Linked DNA regions of Drosophila melanogaster. The gene in region 1 interacts genetically with each later gene. Each region holds a gene or a part of one and is shown in the gene's direction. Other genes may lie near its edges.

Region 1 (12,276 bases):
ATTATGTTCTGCAATACAGATTATCACATACGTTGATTAATTATATTGGTTGAGTGGTTAGGCTATACATTTTTATATTGAATAGAATATATTTTCAAACTCAGTGGTTCACCATCAAAAAATATAAAAAAAGAAGTGGAAGCTAATTTACCGCAACACACACATTACATTACATACATGTGTAAATAGATGTTAGCACACACATTCTATACATACAAACATATTTCGCGCGCCATTGAAAACGCAAAATTACAGCGAATTTAGGAAGAAAAACGCGCAAATGCTTCGCATCACAATGCGCATACTCGCATTTACTCAAGTAACACTTTTCACCATCTAAAGATCGTTGAATTCAATAAACTTTATTTCGCGGCGCGCAGTTAAAAAACACGTGCGTATGTCGATGCTCGGGAAGAAGAAGGAATGAGGAAGATTTAAACAGGGAATGATCAAGGGCCAACGGTAAATCAAACTCATATGCACTCTCTCTGTTTGCCGCTGTTGTTTTAACATCATCTATTAGTTAATGAGGATGTTAAATAAAGCATTATGTTCTGCAATACAGATTATCACGTACATAGATTAATTACATTAGCCGTATAGCTAAGCTATACATATTTATATATATAATAGAAACTCAGTGGTTCACCATAAAAAAAAAGTGGAAGCTTATTTAGCGCAACACACACATTGTGTATGTTCATACATACATATGTAAATGCGGATTTTAGCGCGCACATTCTATACACACAAACATATTTCGCGCGCCATTGAAAACGCCAAATTACCGCGAACTTAGAAAGAAAAAGCGCGCAAATGCTTCGTATCACAATGCCGATACTTACATTTACATCTAAACCATGTTAAATACAACAAACCTCATTTCGCGACGCACAATTAAAAATCACGTGCGTATTTGGATGTGGCTGAGAAAAAGGGAAGAGGAAGACTTGAAGAGAAAACGATCAAGGACCAACGGTAAATCAATAAAATAAGATCTTCACCCGCCCTTTCTAACATTCTCTGTTAATTAACCTTCAATTTAACACAAAATGTAAAGATCAAAAGGTATTTGTATTGCAAATAGTAAATAAATGTAGACATTTGCTTAATCTTTATAATAACAATTTTTGTATTTTTAGTTTCTGCAGGAAACGGAAAAGGAGCGGCAGACACTGCGCGAAATGATGGATCGATTCAACGAGCTGCGCCGCCTGGAGAAGTCCATCGAGGAGGTGCACGCCCTGTTCATGCGCATCCAGACCCTGGTAATGGAGCAGAGCGAGGTGATCCAGCGGGTGGAGTTTCACGCCCAGCAGGCCACGCTCCACGTGGACAAGGGCGCCGACGAGCTGGACCAGGCGGAGCAGCACCAGAAGAAGGCGCGCAAGGTGGGCACACTGCGAATCCCCGAGAGCGTTGGGTTCTAAAAGGCATTTTCCCTTGTATTTGCAGAAAAAGATAATGCTCATCGTGATACTCGCAGCCGTGTTGCTAGTATTACTCCTTGTTGGTATTTATTTGTGATGCACGCGAGAAACTTTATTTTTTTGGCCTATTTTTAAAATTTATACGTAAGAAAATAAACTTTAAAACCTCAAGAAGAATTTTTGCAATTAATCAACAGGTAAAGGAAATCAATAAAAGCTTATGCTATTGAGAGCGTGCTCTATTCTGAGTCCCTTTAAATCATTAGTTTGTTTGTTTCGTGTGGATTTTGTATATTTTTATTAAATTTAATATGTAAATAAGATAACGGTTAGTTCAAAGGGTACGCATTTAGCTGGAAAGCAGCCAGGAAACGAAAGCTGCGGCTAGAACTAGCCATTGGCGGCTGTAAAACAACCGAGCGGGCATCGCTGCGGGTAAACAAAACAACTTAACAGCAACCACTTCGCGCCTAACAGCACACACTGCACTGTTGATACCACACTGTTGGCCAACATCAACATCCCTGGCGTCTCGTTAATAAGTTTTTTATATAGTCGTTTGGCACCGATTTTCCATGTCTGATTTGTAGGTGAGTGCACGTCGGAGCTTGGGAAAGCCTTCGAGATCATTTCTGGTCGGTAGTGGATTAGCCCGGGCGCGCGGTTCAGCGACAATACCAAGCAATCGGACGGTTCGGCGCCATTTTCCCACTTTTCCCGGAAGACTACGCAGTTTAATTGATATTGCCATTGATTGATCCTGTCTAGGAGGCAAGCGGATGTGGATTGGCCAACATGGAGGAACTGTCCAAGCAGCCGCCGCCACCCCCGCTGACGCAGCCGCCGCCGCCGTCGTCATCCGTGTCCATTGAGGAGCCGCTGCCAAATGGCAAGGGAGGAGGAGCAGTAGTTGTTAACTCGATAGCTAAGCTGCCCGAGGAGGAGCTCCTCGGCTCGGTGACCATGCACAATTGTCCGGGAACGCGGGCCAGTGCCCGGGTCATACAGAAGATGAAGCAGGACCAGACGCGCCCGATGACACCGCCGCCCAGCGAACGGGAGCCGAACAAAAAGGAGGAGAAGGCCGCCCAAAAGACGCCCAGCCAGCTGAAGACGGGCAGCGGGAAGACCACCTGGACGAATGTGGAGCGCAACTGCTTCTTCGACGCCCTCAACGAATTCGGCAAGGACTTCGAGGCGGTGGCCAACTGCATCAATGCCAAGCTGAAGCGCCGCAATGCCAACAGCGACTATAGTTTCAAAACCAAGGACCAAGTTCGCCAGCACTATTACCAGACCCATCACAAGATTTGCAAATATGTGCGCTTCTCGGAGGGTAAGAAGAAGGGTCAAACTGGATATGACATGTCCCGAAATGTTAAATTAACAAGCTATTGGCAAAATAATGCGTTAATAAGGTCACAGTTAGCTTGTTTCGGTTTCCCGGAAAAATAGATTTTCGGCGCCAAAAACCTCGTGCCTCGGTTAATTCCTAGAATTCAACTAGCGTTGCCATTTTGCCATTGGCCTTCATTTCATTTCGCAATTGCTGGACAATTTTGTAACTTTAATCAATCGTTTTAGAACTGAAAAAGCCCGCCCAGGAGTTGTACACGCTGATCAACTACGGCGAGATGCGGCGCAAGCTGCAGTTCCTCACGGAGAAGCACTTCATGAAGCTGAAGCAGCTGGTCTACCAGGGCCAAATAACCGTGCGTTGCAAGGGCAAGAACATTCGCATTAAGACGCCATCGTGCAAGGCGCTCCGGCGGCTAAATCAATTGGATGGTGAGTCCGCTTCCATTCGATATGTTTGCCCAATAATACCCAATGACAAACCGTAGACTCACTGGAGGATATCCGGCTGCCCAGCAAGGTGGAGGTGCTGGTGACTCCCGCCAATATGGAGGCCTTCGGACGCGTCCAGTCACTGGCGCAGAATCCACGCGGCAGGATCATAGTTCCGCTGCACAAGAAACTAATCAGCTTCATCAAGACGTTCGAGTACAAATGGCGCAGCGCCAATCAGCGTTTGCACGAGGAGAAGAGTGCATACTTTTCCAGCAGCCTGCCATCTGCTGCGTCCAACAACAATAACAACAACAATGAAACGGAACCATTACAGCCGTCAGTTGCATCGCTGGATCCCTCAATGTGCTTCCAGCCCCGGCCGGGAGTGGCCATCCACCGACCTTTGCTCAGCATCACCGCCTACCTAAGCAGCATCAGTATTTGCTTGACGGCATACGAGGAGCGCATGGGCTTCAAAGTGCGCAGCGAGACCTTGGGCAATTTGGCCGGCATGTCGGTGGCGGCCAACAAGCGACTACGAACGGAAAGCGGCTCCGAGAAGCGTTCGCCGGAGACAAAGAAACCCAAATCGAGTGCCAGCCCGCCGCTGGAGAAGAGTTTGGACGACGGGCCCTTGGAGGGCAATCTGATGAAGATGGAGAATAGCAGCGGTGATGAGCTGGGCGAGGAGATTCATGAGTTTCTGGGCGATATATTGGAGGCCATGCAGCATCCGCAAGCAGCCACTATTCCAGCTCTTTCGGCCACCACTGGTGATACCACAACTGTTGCTGTTGCGCTTGAAACATCGCACGATCCTGTACAACAGGCTTATCCGGCCAACGCGGATCTATCTAATGCCATGGCGACATCTGTTCTACAAACTTCCTGTGCTGCAGCTCCCGCTCCTTCGACTCCTGTAACCGGTTCTTTGGCGGCTCCATCCGTAGCCCGCTCCAAACGCAAAGAAGCTAAGGAGGCGGCGGCCGCGGCACAGGCTCGAAATTTTAAGCCACTGCTCAGCGACGATATACTGAAGAGAATCCGCAAGGGCTGGACGCAGGCGAATGCGGCGGATATAACCATCGGTGATCTGTATGTCGTTTTTGGCCAGGATTCCAAGCTGGAGCTGGAGTATTATTGGTGTGAGGTCGACAGTTCGACGGCCATGGCATCCAGCATACTAACAATCAACACGGTAACGCCTAGCTCCTCGTCGGTGGCCACCCAAACCGGCAGCGCCGCCTCGAACGCCAACCAAACAGGCGCATCTTCCAACTGCTACGTCAGCGCATCGAGCAATTCGAGCACCTCGAGCACTTCGCTGCCCTACAATCCCAACGACTGTGATAGCGTGGAACGCGTCAGGGCCGTCACCACATCGTCGGTGAGCAACAAGCTGAAGCACCTGCTACTCGTGGCCAATCTCAGCGAGCGCGTGCGCAAGCGCCAATGCAACTGCGGCCACACGTGCGATCGCAAGCGGGACCTGATGACCAAGGCGCAGCAGCTGGCAGAGGCGACGGCCACCGGCGGAGTGGGCGGCATGGTTGAGGGCAATTTCCGAACGCCGATGCTGCCAGTGCGGCGGCCGATATCCAACATCGATCCTGTGCGCCAACTCTCAGCGGTAAGTGGTCTTTCCTTATTGGCGTTACCCAAATCCCAATTGATTTGCATTCATTGCGTGCATTCTAGCTCACACGGCAAAAGATCAGTCGTCAGGTGCTTGTGCAGCGCCGTCTCCTACCACCCACATCCGCTGGCGATCGTCCGTACGATCTGCTGAGTGTGCGCCAACTCCACAGTGGCCTTTTCGAGCCGATTGATCGCGTGGATGGCATAAGTTCCGCTGGCATCAGCACCTCTGGCTCGAAACCCGATTCCAGCATGAATGCCACGACCGCTTCACAGGATCAAGAGCCAGGGGATCAGGGGGCATTGGAGTTCCTCAACGACGAGGCCACGCAGGTCAGCGCTCGAGACATGCCCAATCTGGACATTTGCGTGGCCACCAACAGGACGGACGTCAGCAGTTCCCTGAACGAGGCGGCCCAAGACGGGAGCACAAGTAGGAGCATCAGCATGTTTTCGCTTTTCATTTTTGTATAAATTTTATATTATCTTCTTCGCGGCAGCTCAAAGCTTCTTCCAAGGCAGCATGAGTCCGATGCACTTGCTCAGAGATTCAACATCCAACGCACGCTGGCTGGAGGACAATATCAATGACTTCTCGTTGACGTCGCTGCTGGGGCATTTGGATGAGATTGATGCCACCAGGGATATACTGGTAAGCCAGAACGCATGCCACACTCCCCACTTGCGACATTCATTGTGGACCGACCTCTAACCTAATCCACAGGATCCGTCGTCAAGCATGTCGGTGATCAGCGAGAGCAGCGTGGACTTTCGGCACAAGTTCCAGGAAATCGCCGCCCTGCTGCAGCAGCAGGAGAAAGATTAGCAGTGGCCACTGCGGCAATCCGGTCGTGTCCTCTTCGTTTGTGTACCCAAGTCCGGATCTTGAGATGAGAGTCGTCCAAGCTGGACGATGGAAAGGAAAGCCACGTGTGCCTCCAAGCCTCATGTCCCACTGATATTACTCATTACTCACTCATCCCACCCACCCACGTTATACCCACTAACATTTATGTTTTTACGCGACTTTTTGTGATCTATACTCATTTTATGTATGCCAAGTATTAGCAAGCACTCACATTGTCTGAACATATATATTTATTTATACATTAACTTTATGTATCGCGCGGCAGCGTAACGCGTAGCTCCCAATCCACACTTTTAATTCCCAGCCCCATTTTGTTTGTTACCCGCTCGCACACTCGTTCCGCACTACTCTAATTGGTTTCTAGCGCGTAAGTTCAATGCAGCATAGTAGCTTAGCTTAAGGTCCCCACACCCGCACCCGCACCCTCACCCTTAGCCACTATCAACTACAAAACCCAATCGAAACTTCCATATGTATAGAGATTCTCCCGCCTCCACCTGATAAACTAAAGCTCATTACATTAAATCAAATCGAAAGGATCGTCAGAAGACTCGAAATGTTTGTTGACCATATATAATATATATGTATGTATGAAACACGCATTATTTTGGGTGGGAAAACCAATCAAATTTATCCTAACAATAGGAACACACTTAAAACTTGTTATTGTGCGAAGGAAAGTACCGAAAATAAAAGCGAATTGAACTAAAACTAAATGTCCCGATTTGTACATTAAGCCGATAGTATAAGCGATCTAGCTTCAGGTCTCCACATTCTCGTCCTGCTCCTCCAGTTGGACACCCACTTCATGCTCGGCCCGCCTCCGCTGTCTGCCCGCCTTGTGCGACTGGCGATGGATGGCGAGTGAGATGCGGCGCTTGAAGGACTTGCCGCACTGCTCACAGCCGAACGGTCGCTCGCTGCTGTGGACGAGCATGTGGCGGTTGAGCTCGGATGTGCTGCCGAAGCTGCGCTTCTGGCACACCGGGCACGGGTGGGGCTTCTCCTGGCTGTGGCAGCGCTTGTGGGCAATCAGATTGCTCGAGTAGCGGAAGCGACGGCCGCAAATGTCGCAGCCGTGCGGCTTCTCGCCCGTGTGGGTGAGCATGTGCTTCTTGTAGCCCGACTTCTGTGTTAGCCTCTTGCCGCAGATGCTGCACTCGAATGGCTTGATTCCGCTGTGGATTAGAAGGTGTGTGCGCAGCGAGGACGCCTGCCGGTAGACCTTGAAGCAGGTGGGGCACCTGTTCGGATTGTTACGATCGTGCAGCGTGACATGGCCGTCGCGGGCGTTTCGCGTCTTAAAGGACTCTCCGCAGATTGTGCAAACGTAGGGCGTGGCCGTGCCATGTAGCTGCATATGGTACTTGAAGGAGTTGTTGGTGCTTAGTTGCTTGCCACAGATCTAAAGGAATGGAGGGAGAATTGATGACCTTCGGCTTTGAGTTATTTGCGAGCTGCGATGACCAACTTACTTTACACTGTAGGGAGGGATTGAGGGGTTTCCAAGGCCGGCTTCCACTGGGCAAAGTTTTCTGCGTCGCCGAAGTCTGTGCTGATTTCTCCACAATCTCGTAGACATCTTCGCCAGCTTTGGCCTGCAAAACGGGCTCCACTTGGAGGCACTCTTCAATGCAGTGGTCGTTGTCTTCTTGGCGAATTTTTGGCTGGCCATGTAGCCTCATGTGGTACTGAAAGGTCCGCTTCCTAGCCAGTTGTTTGCCGCAAATCTGCCGAAGATGGGAAACTATTTCGTGATTACTTACTTCTAATTCGGAAAGGCAACTCACGGGACATTGCAGCGCTGGCTCGGATCTTTCTAACCTGCTCCTACGTTGCTCCGGATCCGGATCGTCGACAATCTCGCAGAGATCGTCTTCGTGCTGTTCCAGTGCAATATCCAGCCTCTCCTCCTGTACAATTGGCGCTTCCAGCCGGCTCTCCGCCTCATCTGATTCTACGACCAGGAGTTGCTCCTCATCTCGTATCGTTTCTGCTGGATATTCAGTCACTTCCTGGTCATCGAGCACGAGTACAAAATCCTCCGGAATCTCGGTTGACAGCCTGGCCCTAGTATTCACCGCGCTGATCTTTTTGCTGCGGCAAAAGTCCGCATGACTCTGCCGCAGAATTCTGTCCATGCGATGGACACTCCGCTTGAATTCCAGCGAGAGCCGCAACTTGGCCACGCAGTCCGGGCAGATGTGGTGGGGCAGGAAGAGCTCCGCCTCTAGGATCTCCAGACCGCTGCAGTAGCTTAAAATGCTGGCCAGCGTCGCTGGTTTGCCGGAAATTGGATCGTCGAGCGGTTTGAAGAGCGGCAGGCAGCGCGGCGATGCTGTGTGGCACACGCGGCACAAGGCGTCCATGGGGGACGGCGGCGACATGGTCGTCATGGATTGAACTCGACAGTAGATAATACACGTTTAAATAAATAACTTAATTTAGCGTCCCGAACAGTGATGCCAAAGTCCAGCTGATGCGTTAGTGGTGGCACTCAAAATAGCTAGCCAGGCACATCAGCTTGGAAGTGACCAGAGGCACAGTGGCTTGGTGGTTGGTCAAAGGTTGTGTATTTCCATATTATTTAAAATATTTTAATTTAAAATTTTCTTAATACTGTGATTAGTCAGATTGCCGGAGGCAACATATGTACACACGCAGTTATCTGCAAAATCCCGCCAGATTTGGCTTGAAAATCGCCGATCTATACCTGCTGAGAGCCACGTGCTAAATGTACTAACGCCTGGTGCCGCCTGGCAGTGGACAGTATATAAAATCCCTAACGCCAACGCCGTGCCGGTGGGAAGTTGAAATTTTTGTTGGAATTTTTTATAAGTAAAAAGTCGCTGCCATCCGAGCAGGACTCGTGAACGGCTCTAGGACTCGATATCGGGAAGGAAGGGGGAAGCATGAGCATGAGCATGGCACCGGCCACCGTCCTCCAGTTGCTGCGCGGCCTTAGCACGCCGCGTCTTCTTACCCACATCCACCAGCACCGCGCATTGGGTAATCACTACCACCACTACCACCAACACTACCAGCACCAGCACCACCTCCTCCACCACCAGCAGCAGTACCTCCGACTATTCACTTGCACAGCACTGCCAGCGGCTGCTCCGGCGCTCTTCTCGATCCTGCACACAGCGCGTGGCTACAGCAGCACAACCAGTAAGTGATTCACGGTAGAGTCCTAAACAGTAGAGTCCTAAACATTCATCCTTGGCCACTTTCGTTTCGCAGAGCAGGAAGCTGGAGCCACTGGCCCCAATGATGCGCCCGAGGTCGCACCGAATGCCCCGCTGCTGGCCAAGCTCTTTCCTCAGACCTCGCCGGAGGTGGACAGCAACGCCGAGCAGGAGCGCAAGAAGCGCGAGGAGGAGGAGGAAAAGGAGAACGAGCGTGCCTGGAAGCGCATGAAGCTGGGGTAAGCTGACGCCCATTCAATGCGTAACAGTATTATAACAATACTTCCTGCTGCAGCTTTGCAATATTCGGAGGCAGCGCCGTGGCTGCTGGATTCTGGGCCGTCTACGAGTTCGGCAAGCCCGAGGTGGACCCCAACGGGCAGCCCATCGAGGACGAGTTCACACACAAGCCGCTGGTACAGCAGTATCTGCAGCGGATGTGGAAGAGCATTCACTACTATCAGCGCATGATCCAGGAGCCGTCGCGCGCCAAACTGCTGCCCGATCCGCTCAAGCCGCCGTACGTGCAGCCGCGCTACACGCTTGTGCTGGAGATGAAGGACGTGCTGGTGCATCCGGACTGGACTTACCAAACTGGCTGGCGCTTCAAGAAGCGTCCCGGCGTCGACCACTTTCTGGCCGAGTGCGCCAAGGACTTTGAAATTGTCGTCTTCACCGCCGAACAGGGCATGACCGTGTTCCCCATCCTGGATGCCCTCGATCCCAACGGCTACATTATGTACCGCCTGGTCAGGGATGCCACGCACTTTGTGGACGGCCATCATGTGAAGAACCTGGACAACCTTAATCGCGACCTCAAGAAGGCAAGTCATGCACAACGTATTTTCTATTGCAATCATCTATAAAGAAGGGAGTATTTTAGGTGATTGTTGTGGACTGGGATGCGAATGCCACCAAGATGCATCCGGACAACACATTCGGCTTGGCCCGCTGGCATGGCAACGACGATGATGGCCAACTGCTGGACCTTATCGCTTTCCTAAAGAGTAAGTTGCGCCACAAGTGACATTGAAAGCTAAACACTGACCCTTGCAATTCGCTACAGTAATTGCGCAGAACAACGTGGACGACGTGCGCGAGGTGCTCCACTACTATCGCCAGTTCGACGATCCCATCAACCAGTTCCGGGAGAACCAGCGCAAGCTGGCCGAACAAATGCTGGAGGCGGAACGCATCGAGCAGTCCAAGACCAAGCCAATGGTCAAACAGTGGTCGCGCAACATTCTCGGCCGCTAGGAGGCTGGCCATACCGCACAACCCGTTCCATACGCATACCTTAACCTTCCGCCTGCGCCGGAGCAACAAACACGCCCTGCAGCAGCACACTGGCCATATTTTTCGTCGACTTTTGGAGTAGTTAGTGGGAAGCAGTAGCAGACAGCAGACAGCAGGATTGGGAGGCACGCTCTGTCTTTTGCTCCTTTGGGAAAAGACGAGGCGCATGTTTTTGTTTTATTGAATAACTAAACTTGCTTGTTTTTGTTTTTTGGCAATTTAATCGTAATATTATTATTATAAAGAGACGACTTAACCGTAAAACCAAAAACAAGACATCCATGTGTTTCGTTACGAAAGTGGAGAACTTGCTGTGCGTTATCTAATCACAATTGATGGATAAGAGTGGCTAAACCTGCTGAGATAGTTATCGTGAAAACAAAATTATTTTTATGTATGTAAAAAATAAGTGTCGAATTTTCTTTCAGTTTTTTCTGGAACAAAAATCAGTTTTATTGAACTAAGTGTCTAATCCTTAGCCTAGGCTTACATTCTAGAGCCGCTCCCACGGCTTGGTGGCCGCTCACAGCACCATCACCACTTTGGAGGTGGACACCGGCTGCTCATGAACTTCGGTTATGTGAAGGTTGGTTGCCGATCCACCGGTCGCACCTCCACCGGTCGGACTTCCACCTGTCGCACCTCCGCCTGTCGCACCTTCTGCGCCCGCTTGTCGGCTGGGAGGATTGATGGACTGAACAGCAACGGTGGCCGTCACCGGCGACTCCTTGTTGTGGACGCGCATATGACTGGCCAGTCGCTTCTTTGTGGGAAAGGCCTTAACGCAGACCTCGCACTTAAACGGCTTTTCGCCGGAATGGAGGCGAACATGGGCATTGAGGTTGCTGGTAAAGGTGAAGGCATGCCCGCAAACATCACACTTGTGCGCCTTGACGCCACTGTGGACCATCATGTGCTTCTTGTAGCCCGACTTCTGAGACAGTCCCACGCCGCAGATCTCGCAGGTGAAAGCCTTCTTGCCGGTGTGGCTTATCTTGTGCTGGCGCAGCGAGGACGAATCGTAGTAGGCCTTGTCGCACAGATCGCAGGCGTATGGTCGCTCGCCCGTGTGCGTGAGCTTGTGGCGCCGCAGATGATCGAACGCCGCATATCCGCGGCCGCACTGATCGCAGTTGTAGGGTTTCTTCTCCGCATGAGTTCTCTTGTGCACTGCCAGACTGGAGGTGGTACGATAGAAGCGGCCGCATATGCTGCACTGGTGCGGCTTGACATTTGTGTGTGTCAGCATGTGTTCCTTGTAGTTGCGTAGGTGCTTCAGACGCTTGCCACACTCCTCGCACTCGTATTGCTTCTCGTCCACGTGGGAGCGCATGTGCTGGTTGAGACGGCACTGCTGGCGGAACGCCTTCTGGCACACGGTGCACACGTACGGCAGCGCCTCGCCAGCGGTCGGCGGCGCTGAGTCCAGCGACTCCTCCAGGAAGTCCTCATCTTCGCAGACATCCTCCGCCTCCGGCAGCTGTGTGTAGGTGAATGGAGGATAAATGGTATTCTAGTGCAATATAATTTGACCTTTCTCACCAGATGCTCCTCGCGCCCATCCCCCTCCAATTCGAGGGTCTCCTCGCCGATGACCTCGTCAATGGCTCCCTCGGCGGGTATCACAATCATCTGACAGTCCAGTATGGCGTCGTGGGCGCCGGAGTCGTTCATCACCTCGAACTCATCCTCCTCCGTGACGATCGTTTCGAACTCATTCTTAATGGTCACATACTCCACTTCGGCGGGCTGAAACTCATGCACGCTCTCCATAGTGATGTGTTCCTCCTGCTGGTCGCCCGACTGTGCCAGCTGGTGCTCCTCCTCCGACAGCTCGTCATCCTGATCCACCTCCTCGGTGAGAAACTCCTCCTCCTCATCCACGGTCATCGCGAAGATGCGACGATCCTCCTCTGCTAGTTCTTCATCCAACTGCGGATGAAGAAGGTGTTATGGTTTTACTTTGGAGTTAGACTTGATGAAGCCCATCTCCTATTTAGACGTAGTGTCACCAAGAGCAGACAAGTTATCCATTGTATGGAGGTACAGGTTGCACTCCTTTGGC
Region 2 (15,213 bases), on another chromosome or scaffold:
GGGGGTCGAGGCGACATCCACAACAACTACCTCTAACTCGCCATTAATTTCAGCACAATGATGGGAAGCCGCACAAAGCACGAGGGGAAAGTTAAAGCACACTATTGTATTTATATTGGCCACATTTTAGCCACGCTTTTTATGCCCTTGCAGTTAGTATATTTATTTTATCGAAAAGTTTGTAGCGCAGTGGATGAGGCATTTGCGACCATATAAACTATATATCAGTATCACCAGCGGAGTCGATACGGCCATGTCCGTCTGTCAGTTTCTATGCCAAATAGTCTCTTAGTTTAGCAATCTGCATGAACGGGTCGTTGTTTTTAATCGGTATAAATGTTATAATTACTGCAAGGGTATATAAGTTTCGGCTTGCCGATTCTAGCTTACTTTCTGGTTTACATGTATTTTAATGCAAAAAGCTCGAGCTTTTGGAGAGAGAGATGAATAAGTTAGTATGTTTATTGTACAGCCTAAATTAATGTTAACAATGTGTAAGATTAAGCTTAAAAGTAAATTAAAGCGTCCCATGCTGAGGCATGTATTTACAGCAAAAGTATTGGATAGCCTCGAAAGCCTCCTTGGTACATTGGTAATATTGGCCCGGAATCAGAATTAATCTCAAACCTGCAGGAACAGGCGGTGATGTTGCACAGTTGGCATGTAGCCCATGCCGGGCCGATCGATGTGGACCCGTCCACGAAGTGGGGCGAGCACACGCTCGGTGACCAATGGGCAGCGCTGCACCATCAGTGACTGCAGCAGCGGGCAACTGGAGGTGAGGGCACTGCGGAAGAGGGAGAACGAAGTGTGGGCTAGTAAACAAGGAAATCGCTGGGATAGAAGTCGTTCAAGTTGTAAGCGTTGAGCCCCACATCCGGCTGTGGCCTATCGATGTAAAGACGCCGCTGGCGGAGCGGCGCCAGGGAGAGTTCTGTGACCCGCGGACAACGTCGAATGAGCAAGGTCCGTAGCCGCAAACAGTGCACTGTCAAAGCGCTGAAAATACGCAGATGCGGATGCAGATGGAGATTGGTTTCCCCAGAAACACACAGACACAAGGCACGCACAGGTTTACTGACAATATGACAACAGCTTTTAGGGATAACTACGAGTATTACTTACTGCACGCCATAGTCGGAGATAGCCGCACACCCGATCACGTTGATGTGCTCCAGTTCGCGGCAATAGTTCCCGATTTGGATGAGCACCTGATCGGTGACACTGGGCGTATTTGCCAGCGACAGGACGGTGAGCTTGTTAAGTTTCCTGAAGAAGATAATCAAGCAGCGCTCTCCAATTGCGCCGCAATAGGAGATGTCGAACTCCACCAGCTTGCTTTGGTGCAGCGTCAAAGCGTCCACTGCTCCCGTGGTCAGCCACTGGCACTTGGACAGCTTGAGTACGCGCAGCTCCTTGCACTCCACTATGATCGGCTGCAGCGAAAGGGCCGTGATGTTGACGCATTCGTTCAGGTTGACGGCCCACAGGCGTTTCTTGTTGTTGGCCAGCAGTGGCAGCAGCAGCTCATCTGTTAGCCATCGGCAGCAGGCCAGATGAAGCACCTCCAATCGTTGGCAACATCGGGCCAGCACTCGAAAGGCCACGTCGATATTCTTTGTGTTGTTCCCAGAGAGATGAAGTTCCTGCCTTTTTTCCAGCGCAGCCTCCACAAAGCGTTGTGCGGTACGGGAGCAGCAGCGCAGGTTGAAGAGATCCTTGAGCGACAGGTAGACGGCAACCTGCGGGATGAGCACATCGTCCCAGCAGACATCAAACAGCGATCGTGGTGCTGCAATGGAGGCGGTGACCAATGGCCTTGGACTGGCCGTACGCGTTGGTTGTCCTCCGCTGGCCATGGCCATCAGGTGAGCTTCCTCCTCGGGGTGCAGAGTGCACATGCTGCCGCCTCCGGTTACGTGATCTACGCACCAACAAAGCACTCCCAACTCAATCCTTTGGTGCACGGCAAAAACGTAATTAATTGTTTACTTGATAGCAATCAGCTGTTGCTTTGGCATTCACACAAAACTGCTACAAAAATTATTTGTGTAATCTTACGCCGTGGTTTCTACACACGAGTAAAATTTGTTTTACACTGCGTAAAACAAGTGTAGAACACATACATTTTGTTGGTGACCCCGATTTATATACTCTCGAAACGTATTGCTTTTAAAATGATCGATTTATTTAGAAAAATTAGTAAGAGATGCCAGTGTGGTCACGGATCCAGTCCAAGTGGTAGGTGACGCGCTGGAATCCAGCAGGAGCACCCGACTGGCAGCCGTTGGAGGAGACGAAGTTGCTAACTCCCACCAGCTTGGAGCCGTCGTGTGTGACAAGGGGACCGCCAGAGTCACCTCCGCAAATGGACTTGCCGTCGACGGTGCGGGTGCAGATGACGTTGTCGCCAACGCTGCCGTAGGTCCAGCCGCACTCTTCGTTGTGGACGATCTGGAGATCGACGCACTGCAGCCAGTCGGGCAGTGGGCTGCCGTCGTAGGTGCCACCCCATCCGCAAGCGACGGCCCACCATTCGTTGTAGTTGTTGTAACGGTCGTTGTAGCTGGGGAGCTCCACCTTGTTCACCATGTGCCAGAAGTCGACGTGGGGGATGCGGATCAGGGCGATATCAGCGTTGGAATGCTTGATGAAGTTGCCGTTGCCAACGGTGTGGGTGAACTGGGCGTTGGTGCGCCAGGTGGCACCGAAGTAAACGATCACGGAAGCGGCATCTCCGATGCAGTGCTCGGCAGTCAGGACCCAGTCGTGGGCGATGATGGAGCCACCGCACCACCAGCCTCCGCTGAAGCCAAGACCCACAGTGTAGGGAGCCTTACCCTCGGGGGCGGCGTATCCGTTGGTGATACGACCCTCAATCTTGGTGGCCTTGGGCAGGTCCTTTACGAAGACCTTCTCGTCGAAGGCGGAGGCCGAAGCCACGGCCAGAGCCAGGATAGCTAGGAACACCTTCATGCTGATGTTTATACTGGATTCTACTCTCGGATGGCAGCCTTTTATACACATTTTCAGCTAAAACCATATCTGCAACTCGAAAAGGGCTCGTAAATAATCCTCAAGACTCCCATAAACGATGTCATCGATAAGAATGGAGGAACCACTCTACCAAGCCAGTAGTAGAAATCAAAGAAACTCTAGGGGGGACTAGACCCCCCCCACTAGACTATATATATTTATATATATTATATTATTTTATTATTTACCATATATTAAGTATGCAGCAATAAACAGCCAAATTATTATCTATCTAAATGGAATAATATTTTGTGGCTAATCAAATATGTTTGTAGTTTTATTCATAATTATAAAATATATATTTGTCAACCTTTGCGCAGACCATTCTATCTTATCATCATTTTTCAGAACTTAAAATTTACAATGATCTTTGGACAGGAATGATTTTCAATAAAGTTGTTTGTTAACTTTTACATAAAATGTATGTCTGCTTTTTGTCCTGATAAGGATAATCTGTAATAATGGCTGGAGGTTTTCCGCTTGTTTTCAAATCTATTACTAACTGTTGCCAAGTTAGGCTGAAGGATTCTCGACTATTATTAATTTAATAGACAATTAATAAGAACAACAACAAACCAAAACTTGATGCACAAGTGTATGATAACCCTATATACTCACAGGTTTTTGATAACAAGAATTACAAGTGCTTAAAAATAAAATAGTTTACAATTATTGTTCAAGTGTAAACAAATGTTTGAAAGTGATAATAAAATAGGTGTTGGAAAAATGTTAAAAACTTGTGTGTTATTTTCATAAAAATGCTGATTGAACTTCTTTACAGCAAAATTGTCAAAATTACTAAAAAAGTTAGCTGTCATTGAAGATAAGATTAAATCTAGTACAAATCTGTAAATTATTATTTGCTTGCTATTATATATAGCTTTTGCTTAAAGTTTCTAAACTATCCAATCGTTTTAATACTTACAAAAATATATCCAAAATAAAACAGAAACAAAATATACATCTGTATTTAATATTCTAAGAAAAACTGAAATATAAATTATCATTATTTAAATGAAGGAAAATTTTATTTATTATAAACAAGTTAAACAAAATGGAGATTTTAGCCACATGCGTAAACCCTTTAATCTTATCGAAGGTAGGTCTGAAAAATAAACAAATCCCTCCAAATCAATTGATAGAAAACTGAGATAGTAAGAGAAATAAACTAGACTGGCACTAACAACAAATGAAATACGCAATTCTTTATAACTTATAACACTACTTATCTTTCTGATTTAATTTAAATATGAGGCTTAACATTTAATCATAAATAATAATAAATTGGAAACCATATCATTCGTATTCTATGAAAACATTCTATGAAGATATCGAAAATCAATCTAAACCATACAAAATCAAGTATCTTGATCCTTAAGATAATCCATTTTAGTTTCCCCATTCCTTAAATTTAAACTATCGAATTAAAAAACAATTATCTATTAAATGCAGAAGGGTTTATTTCGAGAACGAAATTAGTAGGAGATGCCAGTGTGGTCGCGGATCCAGTCCAGGTAGCTGGTGACGCGGGTGAAGCCATCGGGCAGGCCCGAGGTGCAGCCGCTGGCGGCCACAAAGGAGGTGACACCGACCAGCTTGGAGCGGTCGTGGAGGACCAGTGGGCCGCCAGAGTCGCCGGCGCAGGTGGACTTGCCGCCGGGGGTGGAGGTGCAGATGACGTTGTCGGTGATCACATCGGTTCCATAGACGCTGGAGCACTCGTCGCGGGTGATGATCTGGGAGTCCACGCAGTTCAGGTAGTCGGAGACGCCACAGCTATCGCAAGGCCTGCCCCATCCGGAGGCTAGAGCCCACCAGCCGGCAAAGCTGTCGTGGCGCTCGTTGCCATCGGGCAGCTCCACCTTGTTGATCAGGTGCCAGAAGTCCACGTGCGGGGTGTTGATCAGCGAGATGTCGTTGTTCAGGTTGTTGGTGTTGTAGTCCGAGTGCTGGCGGAAGTGGCCGCTGCCCACGGTGTGGGTGTACTGAGCCTGGAGGCGCCACAGAGCACCGTAGTAGATGGTGACGGAGTGAGCTCCGTGGGTGCAGTGGGCAGCCGTGATCACCCAGGTGTGACCGATGATCGAGCCACCGCACCACCAGCCACCGCTGTCGCTGCTGAAGCCCAGACCCACGATGTAGGGCACCTTGCCCTCGTAGGCGGGATAGCCGTTGGTAATGCGACCCTCGATCGAGCCGGATCCGGATCCCAGGACGGCGTCCTTTAGGGGCACCGGCTTCACCTTCTCAGGCTGGGCGGCGGCGCAGGCAATGGCCACGGCCAGGACAGTTAGGAACAGCTTCATGTTGATTACTTGAGTGCAAGTGGATACTCCGCCGACGGGCAGTGATTTATATACCCCCCAAATCCGACGTATTCATATCGCTAGAGATCTTCACCATTCGCCACTCGAAAGTTCTAAACACTCCGGTCGGACTAATCTTATCAAATTAATTTCGCACGCCTCCAAAATGCGGCACTATCATTACAGGGTACTCCAATGATCTACCCATCCGATTTGGACACTTTCCGGCTCATGACTTGCCACCACTCAATCTGACGATTGCCCACTGCCACTCATTCATTAGAAGATTGTCCGACCCTATCAACATGGACGTGCGGCCACTCGGAGCTGATCTTAAGATAGGTGCCAATAAGCCCCCATTCATGCCCAGAGCCACAACTCAATGGAACACTCGAACAGGAGCGCACAGAGATTAGGGCACACGTCCTGTGGTCATTCAAAAGTAGTATTACAGTATAATTCGCTTAGCTGCATCGATAGTTAGCTGCATCGGCAAGATATCTGCATTATTTTTCCATTTTTTTGTGTGAATAGAAAATAGAAAATAGAAAAAAAAAAATTAAGTTAGCTGCATTTTTAAGTTACCTGCATCGAGGCATTGTGCAAAGTACTCGAGGCAGCTAAGCGAATTATACTGTACTTAACGTTCGTAAGTGCGCTACATTGTTTAGGTTTTAATATTAAACGCACTCCCATTAAAGTTATTAAAATTAAAATTTAAAACAATAAACTAAACATTTACAAGTAAAAAGTGAAATATTTTAAAGACGAAAGTTGTATTATTTTTTAGAAATATATTTCATATATTTAATAAATATATCACTTCGCTTTTGTGATTTGTCAGTATAATAATCCTTTGGAATATATAATCTTTTGGTAAATATATATATTATTTCATTATCTGATTATTGACTAGTATAGACCACAGTTGCTAGTATTCCTACTTATGTCTATCATGGCTACATATATAGTGTTTAATCATGTTTTCCAGATAACAAGTGTTCGATTGCCAAGAAACCATCCCATTTCTTAGCCATTCATGGCTTCTTATCTATAAGACGTTTATTATAGATTCGGATTCTGCATGACTAGACTTTTGAAACTTAAAAATATCCATGTGATTTTTTAAATGTAATAAAACCAGAAACATAAAGGCGTCAAATTAATTGTTATGCATTTCGTTTATTTAAAAATAAAGATAATCAAGCTTAGTAGTAAGCAACGCCGGAGTTGTCGCGGATCCAGTCCAGCTGGTTGGTAACACGGGTGAATCCGGAGGGCAGGCCAGCGGTGCAACCGTTGCCGGAAACCCAGGAGGTGACACCCACCAGGCGGCCACCGTCGTGGAGAACCAGGGGGCCACCGGAGTCACCGGAGCAGGTGGACTTTCCGCCGGAGGTGGACACACAGAGGATGCCATCGGGCTGGGTGCCGTAGGTGCGGGAGCATTCCGAGTTGCTAATGATCTGCAGGTCGACGCACTCCATCCAATCGGGCTGGGATCCGGCGGTGGTCAGTCCCCAACCGCAGGCGACGGCCCAATAGTTGTCGTACATGTTGTAGCGATCGTTGAAGCTGGGCAGCTCCACCTTGTTAACCATGTGCCAGAAGTCCACGTGGGGGGTGCGGATCAAGGCGATGTCGTTGCCGTTCTGGTTGGGCCAGTTGTGGTTCTGGATGAAGTCGCCGCTGCCGACGGTGTGGGTGAACTGGGCGTTGGTGCGCCAGGTGGCTCCGTAGTAGATGGTCACCTGGGAGGCGCCGTTGGTGCAGTGAGCAGCAGTCAGGACCCAATCGTGGGCGATGATAGAACCACCGCACCACCAGCCGCCGTTGCCGCTGAAGCCCAGACCCACGGTGTAGGGAGCCTTGCCCTCGTAGGCTGGATATCCGTTCACAATGCGGCCATTGATCTTGGTGTCCTTGGGCAGGTCCTTGGGATGAACCTGCTGGACAGTCTCGGCGGAGACAGCGGCCAAAGCCAGAGCCAGTACAACGAACACTTTCATGGTGATTGGATCAATCGTGGTCTGCGCCAGACTTCCATCCGTTTTTATTGCGCCCCTTATCGCTGTCTGGAGTAGCCCCCACTCGGCGTTATCCTATCTCTAAGAAATTCGCCCTCTGATACCAATGGAAATTAATTGATAGCACGTCTAAGAACATCTTGATAGGCAAAAAAAATAATAACTCGCTTTTAGGAAAAATTCTAAGCTGATTATCTTCGCTTACAACCGACGTAGGCAATATAAGAAAACAGAAATGATTTTAATTTAATTTAAGGACTAAATAATTTATACATAATATATACATAATAATGTATACATAGAGTATGTAAAATGTAAAAATAATTTAAAATAGGCGCCCAATGTAAGATGTAAGGATTGAAAAATGGCTCACCTGGTCACACAGAGCCATGCATTTATTGTTTATATATTCCGCCAAATTTTATCAATTGATGTCGCAGCATGTCCACTTGCAGTTCATCCGAGATAGCGGAGAAGAAGCGCATTGCGCTGGCCAAATTGCAGGCCAAGAAATCCCAGCTGCTGGCCAGCGCACCCGCAACCAATGGAAAATCAACAACGTCTGCAACAGGTGCGACGCAACATGCGAATAATGGAAAATCAAATCCCAATCAACCGCAGGCCAAATCCCCATTGAATTTCTACCGATCACCGACGGGGGAGCAGAAGAAGATCAACAGGAGCGGTCCCACGCCCGGTGACAACAAGAGCTCATCCTTTCTGAACGCTCTGAAAGCAATCAAACAGACATCCAACCGGGAATTGTCCCGCGGAGCAGCACATCCTTACCAGCGGCCAAATGGAGGGAACGAAAGAAACAAGCCCACTCTTTCACTGAGTTCGGATAAGGAGAAACCGGTGGCTGTGCTACTCGGAAACTCCATCACGTGTAATCTCTACTTGATCAGCACACATCGGTTTGCTGCCCAAACCTCAGGATATCACGAACAGCTCGTGACCGTGTTCAAGAACATGCCCACCAAGTGCTACGATGGCCAAACCCGTATCTGGAGTTTCGATCTGTCGGACTACCAATCCCTGAAAACTCATGCAGCGGATCTAAAGCCATATGTTCACATGAATGGCATTCCGAAGAAGGTGCTGGATCTCTGCGGCCAGCCGCCAGTAGTTCCGGAAAGAAGTGTTTTAGCTTCCATAGAACCGAAGCTGGCGGACCAGCTAATGCCCTTCCAACAGGATGGGGTATGGTAAGCATTGCTTGTATGCTATGTACTTCCAAAAGCGCTAAATTTATCATATGTTTAGCTTTGCCATAGCCCAAAAGGGACGCATTATGATCTGTGATGAAATGGGCCTGGGCAAAACCTATCAGGCCTTGGCCGTAGCCGACTATTTCAAGGATGATTGGCCCTTGCTTGTCTGCACCACCGCTTCTACGAGAGACAGTTGGGCGAAACACATAATGGATCTACTGCCGAAGGTGCCCATCCACTATGTCCAGGTGCTGAACAACAATCAGCTATATGTGGGTGAGGCCAAGGTGCTAATCACCAGCTACAATATGATGGAGCGACACGAAGATAAGCTGATGCAGCGGAAGTTTGGTTTCATCATCTTCGACGAGTCGCACACGCTGAAGAACAGCAAGGCCAAGTGCACGACAACGGCCAAAAGACTCACGGATCAGGCGAAGCGGGTGGTTTTGCTATCCGGCACACCGGCTCTCTCCCGGCCATTGGAACTTTTTACGCAACTGCAAATGATTGATGGCAAATTCATGAATTTCATGGAGTTCAGTATGTCAAGAATGTCTGTTTACCTTAGAACGCGCTTATATCGATTAACACATTCACAGCTACTCGTTATTGTGATGGAAAGCAGTCAACTTTTGGTTGGGATGCCAATGGTCAATCGAATTTGGAGGAACTGAAGGTCATACTTCACCTTAAATATATGCTGAGGCGAACGAAAGTGGAGGTGCTGCCTCAACTCGCTGAGAAGAACCGGTGGGTTGTTCACATTGTTGTATATCTATAATATATTTTCTAACATTTCGAACATTCTTCCATCCGCAGTGAGACTGTCGTCCTGGATCCCGCCCTAGTGTGGACCAATGCGGAGACCAAGGAAACCTTGGATGCGTTTAACAAAGAGCTTAAAACCGCTAAAGGCAGGGCAACGGAAGAGATCTTACTCCGTTTCTATGCACGCACTGCCGAAGTGAAAACTCGAGCGGTCTGGTAATAAAAAAAATCATTAAAACCATATAAACCATCTGAAGTTAATGTATTATCCTGCATTATAGCGCCTACCTAAAAACCTTAGTTAAGGAGCAGAAAAAGTTCATTATCTTTGCCCACCATCGTGTCATGATGGACGCCATTAGCGACTTCCTCAGTGGATTGAAAGTACACTACATACGTATTGATGGACAAACGCGTAGCGATCACAGGTCGGATTCTGTGGACACGTTCCAAAAGAAGAGCAGTTGTAAGGTGGCCCTGCTCTCCCTAAAAGCCTGCAATTCAGGAATAACGCTAACTGCAGCTGAGATCATAGTGTTCGCTGAACTGGACTGGAATCCTAGCGTAAGCTTCGCTTATATGTTAACTTGGAGAACGCTTAAATTTAGTTTTATTTTATGTGCAGACTCTTGCCCAGGCGGAGAGCCGTGCCCATCGCATTGGTCAGACAAAACCGGTGATTTGTCGCTATCTGATTGCTCACAATACGGCAGACGATATAATCTGGAACATGCTGAAAAATAAGCAAGAGGTGCTTAGTAAAGTGGGCATCTTTGCCGAAAATCTTCAGAAAGCAACACACACAGCAGCACCCACTTCAGTAAGATACATTTTGAATACTTTGAAAAATGTATTTTTCGCTAACTCAACTTTTTTTTTAGTCCCACAAGATCGAGGAGTACTTCTCGCCCTCCACGTCCACCTCCCTTGAACCGGAAAGGAATAGCATAAAACAATATTTTTCAACTATTCCAGCTAAAGAGCCGCCTGAGCAAAATAATAATACAGAAATGACCAAAGTAAACAAGGCTGAGTCGGATATCGCGGCGTTCTTTAACGATGATGATGATGAGGCTTTTTTGGAATTAGATATTTAGATTGTGTAATGGAATTTAATCCTAGAATGTTTATTGAGTTAATCGTAATAAATTGTATTTGAGAATGTTATAGCATTGAATGAAACTTGTTGAACGCACTTCTGCGCATGCTCCACGTTTGCAGAACTCTTTTCAGATAGCCGGTTTCATGTGACCTGGCAACAGGCAAACAAACACTCAAGTAAACCTTTTCACTTGTATCAAATAAATAAATACACAGCAAGTTAAGTTTTGTACAATAATAGCTAAATAATATGGATACTACGCAGGAATCTGATCTGCTGGGCGAAGAGGAGGAGTTGGAGAATGAGAACGACGTATCCTTTCCGCGTGATATCGTCAGTGTAGAGTGAGTACGGAATTGGAAGTTGATAACTTTTTCTTGATTGGAAAACTTCTGCTGCAGACACTCCTTTGGTTACGATTGTAAGAAGCTGTTTAATTTGGTCCTTGTGGATTCAGACACGCTGGTTTTTGCCTCTGGAAACTTCCTCAACTACTTTAGCATTTCGCGCCAGGAGATTTCCTTTCAGGAAACGGTCTACGGCTGCGGAGTGGGCTTTATAACGGTGAGCTTTTTAGTACCTTTGAGTACCTTTGTATGATCTAATGGTACTCCATTGCCAGAAAAACGAGCATCCTGACTACACCAACCTCTTTACGGTGGGCGAGAACGGAGCTCGTCCCACTGTCTTTATCTACGAGTATCCATCGCTTAATGTCCGTGTTAAGCTACTGAATGCAGCTCAGAATTGTTTTACGGCGGGCTCCTACAACAAGACGGGGGAATTGTTCGCCTCGCAGGCTGGCTATCCGGATTTCATCATAACTATCTGGCGTTGGGAGAACGCTGAGGTTGTCCTGCGTGCCAAGTCCTTTCAGAGCGACATTCTGTTCGTGCACTTTTCGGAGCACAATCCCATCCTGCTCTGCTCTTCCGGGCTTAGCCACATCAAGTTCTGGAAGATGGCCAACACCTTTACCGGCCTGAAGCTGAAAGGAGATCTGGGTCGCTTTGGCAAGACGGACTTCAGCGATATCTATGCCATGTACATGCTGCAGGATGAGAATGTGATCTCTGGCAGCGATTGGGGCAACATGCTGCTCTGGCAGGCGGGGCTCATAAAGTTCGAGATCTGCCGGAAGGGTCGAAAACCGTGCCACACCAAACCGATTACGAGGATAACCATGAAGAACGGTGAGGTGACGACGGTGGGCATGGACGGTTATGTGCGCGTTTGGTACTGGGAAACGGTCGACTTGGCCGATCCGCCAGAGGACGATTTGTTTGTAGAGATCGATCCGATCTACGAGTTCAAGATAGCCGACGTGGAGCTTCGTTGCATGCAGAAGATACATCCCTTTGATGAGTCCGATTTCACCCACTACGCCCAGGATGGTAACGGTGGCATATGGTTCTGCGACATTAACACCTACGACGTTCCTCAAAAACCGAGAAAGCTCTACTCCTGCATTGGCGGAAAGGTACTGGCAGCCCAGATGTCTCCAGTATCGCCCCATTTCCTCTGCATGTCGGAGAGCGGAAAGCTGTTCGTTTACCAATACGATGAACAGCGTCTGATCCTGGAGAAAGAGTTCCCGGCGGAGGGAGTCGATGTGATCTGGCTGGATACGAATATCTCTGTGAAGGGAACCGAGCTGGTGGCTGCCTTCAAGGATGGTATTCTGCGGCAAATGTATCTCGACCTGAGCAACGGGGAAAGGCCCAAGATGACTCGCGTAAGAGCCTTCAAGGCGCACACATCGCCGATTACTGCACTCACTGTAAGCCGGAACAGCTCATTACTCCTGACCGGCAGCGCCGACAAGAGCATATTCATTTACCAATTGAGCCGGGATGAGCATCAGATGGTGGACATGCGTCCGCTGGGATTTGTGCAGTTTGCAGCTATTCCGAACTGCTTCTACTGGCACGAAACGGAACCCACCGTCGTTCTGGTTGGTTGCAAGAGTGGTGACCTGTACGAGTACAACATCCGCACAGAGGTCACCGATCACGAGACCTACCTGTCCTATAACATAACAGAAAACTCGCGCATGCGCCACACGAAGTTCGCTTCCATTAAGAGCCGCATCCGGCGGGACATCCATCGGGAGAACGTGAAGAAGCGCAAGGAACGGAAGCGAGAGCGTAAAATGAACGAGGTGGAGAAACTGAAGAAGGCCAATCCCGGCCTGCAAATTGACATAGAGTCAGCGCTGGCGGACTCGGAACCGGATGAGGAGGAGGAGCCGCTTCACATCCCGACCGTGCCCAACGCCATAATCTGGCTGCGTTACACCCTAAGAGACACAATTTGGGTGTCAATGGCGGGCTACGATGCTGGTTATATCTATGAGCTGGAGTTCAATGCGGCGGAGCCCACTCGAGCCACCATCATAGCGGAGGCGGATGACATCGAGATTCATTCGTATTGCATAATGTGAGTTTAAGCGCTAGAGATGTGGCATATCCTGGTATATCCATTTACTATCTCTTTTCCAGCGATGAATTCATCATCTTTGGTCTTCACAATGGACGTATTCGAATCAATCGCATCAATCCGGACAATTTCACCGACCTCTCCGAGTTCCGCATCTATCCCATGCACGACGGCCTGAAAGGCACCATTCCCAAGATCGACATTAGCTACAGTGGTGAGCACTTACTCACCATTGGCTACGATGGCAACGTGTTCCTGCACAAGTGGAACGGTCCGAAGATCGTTAGGAACAAGGTGAGGGATAAACTGCCGCCCCTGCCGGAGGGAGTTACCCAGATTCCGGACATAGAGCCGGAGGCTTGCTCCCTTGAACAGGAGAAAATCAACGCGGAGCTGCGGCGGCAACAGGAAGCAGCCGATGCACATGACCGTGATGTGCTCAGTAAGATCGGAGCGCTCCAGAACGTCTACTTTGACATTATCAGGATCAACGAGGAGCTACCTCCGGGTCTGAGGGCCAAGGATACCGACTTGCTGCTGGACGATCGTATCACCCGGCAAATTCGAAATGAGCTGCAGGCAGAGTTGGATGACGTTCGAGAGGATCTGGCCTACGATTTGGAATTTGCCCAAGTGGGACACACGAAGCTCTACAATCACTTTCTCAAGGAACTCGTCCAAGTCCCCTTCACAGTCGCTCCTTTGCGGTAAGTAAAAGGATTCCTATCATTCCAACAGATTTAACATTGTGATTTTAGTGCCAACGTGCCGGGTGTGTCCACATTTCGCCTGCAGGCTCTGGGCGAGGAGCATGCTCAGATCAAGCAGGATATAGAGGACCGCCTGAAGCGGGAGCATGATATGGGGTAAGTGGCGAAAATCAGGCTCCACCTCTTCACACTGCCAACACGAGAAATATATACAATACATACAAATCTTACTCTTACATTCAACACAAGCAGCCTTTACACGGAGGATCGAGTACTAGAGCAACCGGAAGTGTAAGCCATCCAAGCTACTTAGTTCCTAGTTTGATCACCTGTCCACCATAATTATTGATTACACCATCAATGCATATTACAAATCATAGATTAAACTTTAATGGCACTAGTTAAATACCTAATACCCAATGATTACAGACTGCATGACTATGTGGCGCCCGAGAGATCGGACGAATCCATTGGGGAACCCCCGCCGGAGTCGTTCTTCTTTGGCCGGGATCCGAAAAGCATTGAGCCGCGTTTCAGCAAGAAGATGATGCGACTCCTCACCCGCTATCGAAAACGCCAGATCTTCGAGGTGCGCCGCATCTTCGACTGGGACAAGCTGGAGCGCCAGAAGCCGGACCCCAATCGTAACCATCCCGACGACGATGCCCAGATCGAGGATGCCAAGCGCAACCTGGGTGACTTCAAGCTGAAAATCGGTTCGGACTACGAGCCCAAGTCATCGGAAACCTTGACCCAGAAGTACATAGAGGTGGTGGAGTGTCGTGAACAGTACTTTGCGATGGTGGACGCCTTCAATCAGATGGTGCTGGATCTGCGTGAACGCAAGGGTGAGCTGGACCAGTTTATCACCGCCAAGAGAAACCGCTTGGCAGTCATTCATAATTATCTGCCCGAGCCGGACCGTCAGCCCTTGGATCCGATTCAGGAAATTGACATGGACCTGGAGTACCCAGAACTTAATCTCATCGAGCACTATACGCCCGGCTGTGGAGTGGAGATCGACGACATCCTAACGCTGGAGCACAGTGTAGACCAGGTGGGTGAACTGAATGTTACTACTTTTAATTAAGCATGCATGCGTACATCTTCTATGTAACAAGGTGATAGCCAGGATGGCTCCAATGAGATCCACCGCCAACGTAAGCCTTTTCAGTTTGCACGGCTTGGATGTACCCGAGCTGCACGAGCACACCGCATTCACGATGCTACAGATCTCAAAGCTGAACAGAAGTCTTCCCAATGCGGAGCTGGACGAGGAGCTGCTAAAGCTGCCGCCCAAAAGTGATCCGGCCTACTTCGAGTTGAATGATGATGGCCAGGTGCCCTATATGATGGAGACGCGTCATCGATGGCTTCGCCAGCTGCTTGTGGAGCAGAATGCCATACGGACAGAAGTGGACGAGGAGGTGCGACAGTTTGACAAGGCACTGGAGAAGCTACAGGTACGACGCTTCCATGTCAAAATGGACGCCGAGTTCATGACCGCATTCATGAACAGCCTAAATCAGGAGCTCTACATCCTGCGCGACAGCGAGGAGATAGAGACACAGTTGCTACTAAACGCCAAGACTGCAATGAGTACGCGGA

Evidence for each region.
Region 2: of crm (region 1) and Marcal1, changing one enhances a phenotype caused by changing the other (phenotypic enhancement), as found in Drosophila melanogaster (one study listed by BioGRID).

Annotation. Positions count from the first base shown.
Region 1 is NC_004354.4:2,728,412-2,740,687, reverse strand, and holds crm (cramped), read left to right. Parts: upstream 1-1,914; 5' UTR 1,915-2,020; intron 2,021-2,149; exon of another isoform or gene 2,150-2,198; 5' UTR 2,199-2,225; coding exon 2,226-2,766; intron 2,767-3,014; coding exon 3,015-3,218; intron 3,219-3,274; coding exon 3,275-4,851; intron 4,852-4,919; coding exon 4,920-5,292; intron 5,293-5,359; coding exon 5,360-5,511; intron 5,512-5,583; coding exon 5,584-5,685; 3' UTR 5,686-6,440; downstream 6,441-12,276. Other genes in the region: Syx4 (syntaxin 4), read left to right, coding at 1,143-1,391, 1,456-1,527; CG2712 (uncharacterized protein), read right to left, coding at 6,488-7,132, 7,203-7,457, 7,518-8,123; ttm50 (tiny tim 50), read left to right, coding at 8,640-8,898, 8,971-9,154, 9,211-9,739, 9,799-9,922, 9,982-10,172; dwg (deformed wings), read right to left, coding at 10,735-11,691, 11,754-12,143. UniProt on the Drosophila melanogaster protein: Polycomb group (Pc-G) genes are needed to maintain expression patterns of the homeotic selector genes of the Antennapedia (Antp-C) and Bithorax (Bx-C) complexes, and hence for the maintenance of segmental determination.
Region 2 is NT_033779.5:4,947,773-4,962,985, forward strand, and holds Marcal1 (Marcal1), read left to right. Parts: upstream 1-7,736; 5' UTR 7,737-7,810; coding exon 7,811-8,577; intron 8,578-8,635; coding exon 8,636-9,126; intron 9,127-9,185; coding exon 9,186-9,336; intron 9,337-9,405; coding exon 9,406-9,570; intron 9,571-9,635; coding exon 9,636-9,918; intron 9,919-9,979; coding exon 9,980-10,174; intron 10,175-10,235; coding exon 10,236-10,451; 3' UTR 10,452-10,520; downstream 10,521-15,213. Other genes in the region: betaggt-I (beta subunit of type I geranylgeranyl transferase), read left to right, coding at 1-61; jet (jetlag), read right to left, coding at 816-999, 1,126-1,901; Jon25Biii (jonah 25Biii), read right to left, coding at 2,200-2,976; Jon25Bii (jonah 25Bii), read right to left, coding at 4,512-5,342; Jon25Bi (jonah 25Bi), read right to left, coding at 6,551-7,351; CG34124 (uncharacterized protein), read left to right, coding at 10,706-10,800, 10,858-11,020, 11,079-12,895, 12,958-13,602, 13,654-13,761, 14,035-14,662, 14,727-15,213. UniProt on the Drosophila melanogaster protein: ATP-dependent annealing helicase that catalyzes the rewinding of the stably unwound DNA.